2 linked regions of the Caenorhabditis elegans genome follow. The gene in region 2 interacts genetically with the main gene of each other region. Each region holds a gene or a part of one and is shown on either strand. Other genes may lie near its edges.

The links. A genetic interaction does not mean that the proteins touch.
Region 1: of egrh-1 (region 2) and act-1, changing one enhances a phenotype caused by changing the other (phenotypic enhancement), as found in Caenorhabditis elegans (one study listed by BioGRID).

What each region holds. Positions count from the first base shown.
Region 1 is NC_003283.11:11,079,469-11,082,928, reverse strand, and holds act-1 (Actin-1), read right to left. Parts: upstream 1,878-3,460; 5' UTR 1,857-1,877; coding exon 1,667-1,856; intron 1,619-1,666; coding exon 838-1,618; intron 786-837; coding exon 626-785; 3' UTR 514-625; downstream 1-513. UniProt on the Caenorhabditis elegans protein: Actins are highly conserved proteins that are involved in various types of cell motility and are ubiquitously expressed in all eukaryotic cells.
Region 2 is NC_003284.9:14,843,906-14,849,732, reverse strand, and holds egrh-1 (Early growth response factor homolog 1), read right to left. Parts: upstream 3,797-5,827; 5' UTR 3,790-3,796; coding exon 3,649-3,789; intron 3,600-3,648; coding exon 3,236-3,599; intron 3,186-3,235; coding exon 3,043-3,185; intron 2,881-3,042; coding exon 2,585-2,880; intron 2,535-2,584; coding exon 2,464-2,534; intron 2,418-2,463; coding exon 2,344-2,417; intron 2,285-2,343; coding exon 2,159-2,284; intron 1,458-2,158; coding exon 1,302-1,457; intron 1,254-1,301; coding exon 1,239-1,253; 3' UTR 516-1,238; downstream 1-515. Other genes in the region: acd-3 (DEgenerin Like), read right to left, coding at 269-394. UniProt on the Caenorhabditis elegans protein: Sequence-specific DNA-binding transcription factor. Plays a role in oocyte development, acting cell-autonomously in the somatic gonad. Involved in negative regulation of oocyte MAPK activation and inhibits oocyte maturation and ovulation.

The sequences.
Region 1 (3,460 bases), on a different chromosome or scaffold from region 2:
TTAAACAAGTTTGCGTTTTTCTCGCAGAGTTGAATCAATGGAGAAGTTTGTGTTCTTAATTAACATTGTTTACATTTAAAACTATTATCCGTACGGAAGTTATCATACAACCGCCTACACTTCCCTTCCTGTTCAAAGATTTTCTGTTTTCTTCCTATCAGTTCGACGCTTCTCGTCGTTTTTGCCTCCGCATGTTGTGTAAACAGATGCTTTCGCCGCCGTGGGAATAAGAAGAAACTATGGAATGTGTGCTTTCTTTCTCGAGAGACGAGCAGTATCTTCACGAACGTTGCGATTCTCGGAATCGCTCTGCGCCCACTCAAATATCTCTCATGTCGCAACTGTCTTCAACGTATTTCTCAAACAGTAACATTTTTTGGCGGCGAGTGCTTCAAGAATCTGTTAATGGTGCTGATAGACAATTTAGAAATATCAATTTTTAAATTTTTATTCACACCCGCAAATGAGTGAAAGGACAATAAGGACAAAAATGGGGCGGTTTTTTATTTTTTTGGGAAATATGCATGATGTTTCCTTGTTGCACAAAAATATGCAAACAAGAAATAGAAAGCTGGTGGTGACGATGGTTTTGAACTTGTTTGTGCAAGTTGACGAAGTTGTGCATTTAGAAGCACTTGCGGTGAACGATGGATGGGCCGGACTCGTCGTATTCTTGCTTGGAGATCCACATCTGTTGGAAGGTGGAGAGGGAAGCGAGGATAGATCCTCCGATCCAGACGGAGTACTTGCGCTCTGGTGGGGCGATGATCTTGATCTTCATGGTTCTGAAAAAAAATCAATTTAATTTGTTAACTGAAACAAAAATAGAAAACTTACGATGGGGCAAGAGCGGTGATTTCCTTCTGCATACGATCAGCAATTCCTGGGTACATGGTGGTTCCTCCGGAAAGAACAGTGTTGGCGTACAAGTCCTTACGGATATCAATGTCGCACTTCATGATGGAGTTGTAAGAAGTCTCGTGGATTCCGGCGGACTCCATACCCAAGAAGGATGGCTGGAACATAGCCTCTGGGCAACGGAAACGTTCGTTTCCGACGGTGATGACTTGTCCGTCAGGAAGTTCGTAGGACTTCTCGAGGGAAGAGGAAGAAGCGGCGGTGGCCATTTCTTGCTCGAAGTCGAGGGCGACGTAGCAGAGCTTCTCCTTGATGTCACGGACGATTTCACGCTCAGCGGTGGTGGTGAAAGAGTAACCACGCTCGGTAAGGATCTTCATGAGGTAATCAGTAAGATCACGTCCAGCCAAGTCAAGACGGAGGATGGCGTGTGGGAGGGCATATCCTTCGTAGATTGGGACGGTGTGGGTGACACCATCTCCAGAGTCGAGGACGACTCCGGTGGTACGTCCGGAAGCGTAGAGGGAGAGGACAGCTTGGATGGCGACATACATGGCTGGGGTGTTGAAGGTCTCGAACATGATTTGGGTCATCTTTTCACGGTTAGCCTTTGGATTGAGTGGGGCTTCAGTGAGGAGGACTGGGTGCTCTTCTGGGGCAACACGAAGCTCATTGTAGAAGGTGTGATGCCAGATCTTCTCCATATCATCCCAGTTGGTGACGATACCGTGCTCAATTGGGTACTTGAGGGTAAGGATACCTGAAATAGTACGCATAAATTTAATCATCGAATGTATTAATTATTTACCTCTCTTGGATTGGGCCTCGTCTCCGACGTACGAGTCCTTCTGTCCCATACCGACCATGACTCCTTGATGACGTGGTCTTCCGACAATGGATGGGAACACGGCGCGTGGAGCGTCGTCTCCGGCGAATCCGGCCTTGCACATTCCGGATCCATTGTCTACAACAAGAGCGGCAACCTCGTCGTCACACATTTTGATTAGTTTTTAATGTACCTGAAAAATTAAATTGATAATATAACACAGAACACGTGGGGAAACGGTGATAGTATTGAGCAGAATATATATTATATATATAGTGGGACAATTCATCAGGTGGGCGGTGGTAAAAACAAAATCAAATAAGGCGTGACTAATACATTGGGTGAGTCATGAACACGATTTTTATTTTAAAAATTCTTATCTATGGTGTGAGGCATTAATGGAGGAAGGAATACTTTCGAAACTTCAGTGATAGTCTTATCTCTGGTGTTATCTGTTCGCTTATCAAAATGCTGTATTTGAAAAAAGTGTTCAAAACTTATTGCAAAATAGCGAAGAGTAAATAAAAGAAATTGAAAGAAAGCGTGGAGATGAGTGAGCTCTGTAAAACTGGGCACCGTTGCTTTTATACTGTGCCATGAAAGACAATTCTGCGTATTGGATTCACCGACTACACAACGAATTAGTGACTATGAGAAATAGAGAGGATCCAGACACCCGCGGGAGAAGACTCCACCCATAAACTCCCTCTTTCCACGGGAGCATCCCTCTTGCCAAGTTCTTCGTATTGGCCAGAGCCCACAACGCCCTCTAGCTATCTTATCCCTCCCTTTTCTCTTCATTTCCTCACGATCTCTCAGTGATCGGACCGATTGCGAAGGCGAGGAGTCCACGAGAGAGGAGGTGAGAAGAAATATGTGGCAACGTTTTTTGTCTATGACGAGAAGGGTGGGAGGTTTACGAAAACAACAATAACTTTTAGAAAGATGATGGGCGAACAGGTAAAGATGAGTAAATTTAATGAATACGTAAAAATGGTATGACCTAAATAATGCACAGGTAAATTAAAGCCAATAACAATTTACTGGAATTTCAATAGCTTCTGTAGAATGCGATTAAAGACGACTGTATTTTATATTTGGCATAAAACTGTTTTTTTTAAATTTAAACGGATATTTTAACAAAACTACAATATGTTTTAATTCATGTTGAATCTAACGTATTTGAATAAATAAATAATAAGTTATATATGATGGTCCGTATTCACTGTATTAATCGGAATCTAAAAATAGTGCATATTTGTTTCCAATAAATGAATTCATCTTACATGCTCACAATTCTTCAAATTCAATAGAATGAAAAATATACTTATTAATTGAAGGCAGAGCTTGTAAATCACCCCGTTGTGCACTAATGCGAACATGTGTGATGGAACATACACTGAGCAGACATATGCTATACATCTTTTAAGGCTATTTAATATTTTCTTTCCACATTTTGAAATTAATTTATTTTTTTTTAATCTTCATTGATATTGGTCTATGTGTGCAAGCACTTGTGAGGGCGGAAAGATGTTCAGAAATCATCGGGAGAGTACCAACTGATATTGAGGAGCAGAAAAAAAACCAGTGGGGGGGGGGGGGGGGCAGGCAAGAAACTCATGCAGGATTTTCTTGGTATATTCGATGAGATAGAAATACTTTCGAAGAGTTTACAAACATCACAGCATAGGGGATCGAAAATGGCAAAAAAGTCTGCGGACCCAATCAGTAATTGGAACGCTAGTGAAGAATTTTTGCGTGGGAAGGTGCAAGGGA
Region 2 (5,827 bases):
CCCTAGTGTAAGTCTACTTTTACGAAAAAAATGCAAAAAAAAAAACTATCAAAATGTGGAAAAAACTATAGCGATATTTTTTTTTAACTATTTTCTTATTGCTGCGGCGCGCCCACGAAGTTGCCAAAAAGTTGAAAAAAGGGGATGTGCTGGTGAAATGGATCAGGATAGTGCTTTTCAGAGCTAAATAAGAAACAAATTTAAACCAATTATAAAATTTATCATTGAATTGAGCTGAAGTTATTTTTTCTTTTTATATAATCCATACCATTCCATGATAAGTAGTAAGTGACGTAAACTCCTTGGATTCATCATCATAGACATGAAGGACAATCCTCTCCTCTTCTTCTTCATATTCAGAACTGGAGCTGGAGCAATTTGAAGTTTCAGTCATGATGAAAAACGAGAGCAGCAATCAAAAAATCAATACCCACTATCATTTTTCTTCACCAGCTTTCAAGTTTCCTTATCAGAGCACGGATTATTTTCAAAATTTTTAATTGCATCAAGAAACTACAAATTCCTAAAAGTTTATGCAAGGTACACTTTTTCTTTAAATCACAAACATATAGTATACGGCTTGGTTTAAGAGTTTGAAACTTTTCAGTCAAAAGAAATTGAGGTTTTTCATGGGGAAGGAAATCGAAAGGCAAACAAGTAAAAAACGAAATCAAAACTTAACAAAAGAGTTTAAAACATTGTGTTTTTTCTGTTAGGGAGAGTGCAAAAGTCATACCAGAATAAAGAGGAGCAGGAATCAAGGTAATTTAATTTTTAATACGACAAATACAAGAAATAAAAAAGACAAAGAATTTTTCGAGAAAAAAATGAAAAAAATGCCAGAGGTTTTTATGATATTTGAGCGAGGTTGTGGAGCTGAACGCGGAAAATATTGAAAAAAAAACACAAAAAAATAAATCTATCGATAATGAGATCTAGGTTTCTTGTTAGATTCCATTTCAGATTCCAGGACTAGCGATGGGATGGAGTAATGTAGAATTCTATTCAAACGCTAAATATATGTAAATTGAACAAAACAATGGTTCTCAGATCGTTGAAAAATAAAACTTTAAAAATTGTCTTTCGGTTCGCAAATGTCATTACCGGTGTGTCGGAGGAAGAATACAAGGAGAGTTACACGATTTAGAAATGTCAAGAGGGGAAAAAACAGAGAACTGTATCGATTGGCAGCATCAGATTATTCAAACATTGGAGGACCACGCTTCATCTTGTGCTTGTTATGACCCTGAACGCTGAATAACTCAAATTAATTGAAGTTTGTGGTAAGATCGGGTAGTTACCGATGTCTTGTGAACTTTCGTGTGCCGCTTTCGTTCATCACTTCGCGCGAATTTCCGGCCACAAATGTCACAGGAGAATGGTTTTTCGCCAGTGTGAGTGCGCACGTGGGTCGTCAAATGGTCCGAGCGGGAGAAGGCACGCATACAAATTCGGCACTGAAAAATTCCATTTACCATAAATACCATAAATTCCGATATGCATGATATAATCTTATTTGAACTAGACATGAGATTTTCGTGTTAAAGTTATACCGTTACAGCAGGGTTACAACATTTTCTTGAAGAAGTAGTATTAAAACCAAAATTTATAACAAAAAAGTTAAGTTTTATTGAAAGAAAAATCAGCTTGAAATCAAAAAACGTATTAAAATTCCCGCGCATATTTTCGTGATTTGTACGTCCTTTTGGAGAGTCTTACTAGTTAATTACACTTATCATTTATAAAACTAGAATTTTACTAAATACTAAAAAACCTATAGCCAAACAACGTGCTAACTGAAAAATTTTTTTTCGAAAGTTCAGTTTATCAAAATTTTGATTTTTTTTTACCCCACTTTATGGAATTTTCCAGTATTTTTCAGTAGTACTTATCTGTATAAGTACCATATATTCCGATGGAGATTTTCATATTTGTTTAAAAAAATAAATTTAAATGACTCATCAGAGCTATTTTTCTGAAACTTATTTGCCAAAAATTTTGAAACAAAAAAAAAACCAATTTTAGGATTTCCACAGTCTTTCAAATACTTTTTCTACTTCTGCACGAAGCTCAAAATAAACATGTTTTTCTTGAAAACAAAAACAACACAACAACTTTCTGACAGCTTTTGAATTTTTGATTACTAGTTGCTCAGTACCTGGAATGGCTTTTGGCCTGTATGAATCCTAATATGTCTCGTCAGCTCGTCACTTCTCGAGAACCTCCTGTCACATCCATCTCGTGGACACTTGTACGGTCTGTCTTGGAGAGGCATCTTTGAGGACTGAAATACAATTTTCTTTGAAAACTAGTACTAAAGATATGAATATATGCAATACATACCTTCATTTTTTGGCAGCCAATATTCTTTAGCTCTTCAGAAGTGGATGAAAACTCAAAGGAATTGAAGTCATTATCTGAATCATTGAATATTTGATGTACGAAATTTTGCGATAAAGTTACCTGAGAAGTTGTAGCTGTAGTCATCCATTGGCTCGGTTTTTGGCTCGAAATGTGCCAAGCTAGCGCTGTCTCTAAAAATTGTAAAATATTAAAAGTTCCAGCTTGTACCTATTCAACTTACGAAAATGACGTATGAGTCGAGAGACTAGAATAGCTTGCTGAATTGGAATACGGGTCATCATGCGCAGAAATTGGCGACATTGATGAATGATCCATAGATCTTGTGAGGCTCGCTGACGTGTTGGTCCTCTGTACTCGTGGGATTACGGTAGACGGTCGAGAGTTGGATTGTGGATGCTCGTTTTGAAGAGAAGACCCAAGATGCGATGGTTCACTTGTCTTTCGTGGCAGTGTCGGCACATGCAGAACATCACTGAATTTTTGATCCTCTATCGAGCTCCTCCGTACTTGGACAGACTGAAATTATAAATTCATAAGTTATTATGAGAATGAACGCTGAAAGCAAAAAAAAAGTGTGTTTTTTTAATTTTAATTTTTTTTAGACACAGTATTTTCAGTTATTCGTAATTTAAAAAAATACTCTAATATATATTTCAGTGTGGGCACACACTCTCGTACCTTTATCAAATCGGATGGTTCTTGATGGTTTAATCCCGCTGTTTTAGAGTCCACAACTAATTCTGGCAGGCCTGCTTTATTAGTGAGATTTTGCAAAAAGTGTTCTACCATTGGCGAAAACTGGAACATGGCAGCAGATAAGCCTGAAAATTCATTAAAGTTGGCTTCAAAATCAAAACTTTTGTATACAAACCTGGAGAATCTACACCACCCGGTCCTGTAGAACTGATCTCAATATCTTTTAACGTCAACTCTTCTGGTTTCTGCTTACTGTTCCCGTTCGTCATGCGCGGTACTCCAAAACTATTACTTCCTAGCAGCTCCTTAGGCTTCGCCTCATCCGAAGAGCTAGACGGCTGCTCACTACTGTAAGCTGGCTCCTTGTATGACGATGATGGTGCCGGCATTAGTGTTGTTGTGTGCATTTGGTTGAACAGTGGCTCGTGCTCGCCAAAGAATTTCTGATCGGTTTGAGGAGTAAATCCAGAAAATCCATTGACTTTAGGCGTCCCGTCAATATTCATCGGTGTGTGTCGTGGTGAATTTACTGTGGGTGTCTGCAAGAATATGGTTTAGTTTCAGACAATTCAAGGTGTAACTTCTCACCTTAAGCATATCATTCATAGTTGGCGTTTTCAGGCAATCATTGTCAGCAAACGTCAGTATTGGTTTATTTAATGACGGAGGTTTTAATAAATTTGAATGAGAGTGCCTATTAAGTTTGGAAGGTGGCTCGTGAAGTGCCATCCTGATTCTGCAACAACAGAAAAAATTAATAGAAGTATTTCGGTAAAAGGGAAAATAAATAAACGCGTGAGAAGTGTTGGTTCAAAATTCAGAAATATCTAGTCCTTTTGATTAATGGGCGGAGCTCTTGGAAAAGGAGAAGGTTGTCATATTTGGCGACGCAAAAAAATTGGGAAATTGGAAAAGCCGGAAGGAAGTCTAACCTAAAACCAGAAAGGCGGAAACATTTTCTTTCATTGCAAATAAATTTTTAGGTTATGGGCAAGTTATGGCAAGATTTTTTTTAATGTTCGAAAGGAGATCGTTGCTTCCCCCAAGTGGCACATGTTGTTAGTTATTATTCAATTTTTAATTGAAAATTATTAGAACAAAAAAGAAAATTTTTGAACTATCAGGTGTAAGCTCTAGATAGATCAGCTTTTTTGCGAAACTTGAAATTCGCTCAAACTTGCAAAACCCAAAAGTGTACTCTATAATTATGAAATTCTTCTAGTTTTCGAGCAATGAATAAGTCTGTGAAACCCGGTGAAACGAAAACCAAACTAAGGAAAAAATGCAAGAAGGGGGGGGGGGGGGGAGAAGGAAAAAAGAAAGACGAGGAAGAGAGTGTGGAATCGAAATTTTGTGAATTACAAATGCAGTAGCCCCTGCGGCCCGTCCTTTCACCCACGCACCTACAACCAAAAAAAGGGGAATCACATTCTCGTTGTCCATCTCGTTCCACGACGGTTTTGTATGACATGGAGACGGAGAGGCAATACAAAAATCGCTTGGAGGAATCGAGAGGCGGGAATTGCCATAACATACAAATGAGGAGGAAAACAATGATTGGAAGAATCTAGAACCAAAAAAATAATATATACTCAATCTAGATTTATAGTCGGTATTTATATCAGTATCAGTTGAGCCTCTAGAGATATGCAGTTTTCAGAATTATCGCGTTCTCAAAACAATCACGAGATTATTGATAACGTTTCGTGGGCAGGAGGAAATGGAAAAAAAGAAAGAAAACGCCAAAATAGTAGTAAAAAGTAAAAAATGAAACAAAGAAACACTAGTGTCCAACACGCGGAAGCCCCCCCCCCCCCCCCCCCCCCCCCAACAAAAGAGTCGTTTTCGGGTGCGTGGGTGTGTGAACATACTGGGTGTGGTGATTGTGACATGCTCCAAAAGTTAAACTCTTTCAACATTTATATACCGGAAAAGTAGGTGTTACCTGAGTCACTGCTAGATGGTGAGATGTAGAAAAGATGAAAAGAGTTTTGCTTTTTGGCATATTTAGTGATAGAATTGATAAGGAAGAATGACGTGAGTCAGAGAGAACGACGAGAAATGAGGGCGGAAAGAGGGGTGGAAAAACACTGGAAAATATAAAAATGTACGTTTCGGGAATGAGCATGATGTGAATATTCAATTTGATAAGTTACACTTTGCAACAGGTGAAGCTTTTAAAGATGGATGGATCAAGAATAAATGACATATGGCTCACATTTACCTCCATGATAAAGAACTGGTAATATACTGAAAATCCACAAAATTTCATATAAAAACGAAGTATCTCTGTATGTTATCCCCACAGTTTGAAAAGTTTTTTATATGAAAGTGGGTATTATTTTTGAATTTTTGAAATATAAGGTTCTGGCAAATACTATTTCTACACGTGGTGTCAGAGTATCTCATTCAAGCTTGATCTAAAAAAAATGCGGGAGAAAAGACGCAGCGTTCTCAACTGATTTTACATGATTAAAAACGTACTGACGTAACGTTTTGTGGGCAAAAAAATCCCGCATTTTTAGTAGATCAAACCGTAATGGGAGCTTGGCACCACGTGTTTCTCAACAAAACGATCAAAATATTATAGATATCATGTTTAATTTTATTAAAGCAATTAATGAGATTTTTAAATTTTGAATACTTTTTGAATTTGGGGACACAATACACAAGTACCAAAAAATTTTCAAAAAGCTTAAAATAAAGCTTAAAATACATGAATAACTCAAATTTAATTTTAAGACCAAAAACTTTTGAATGATGAATT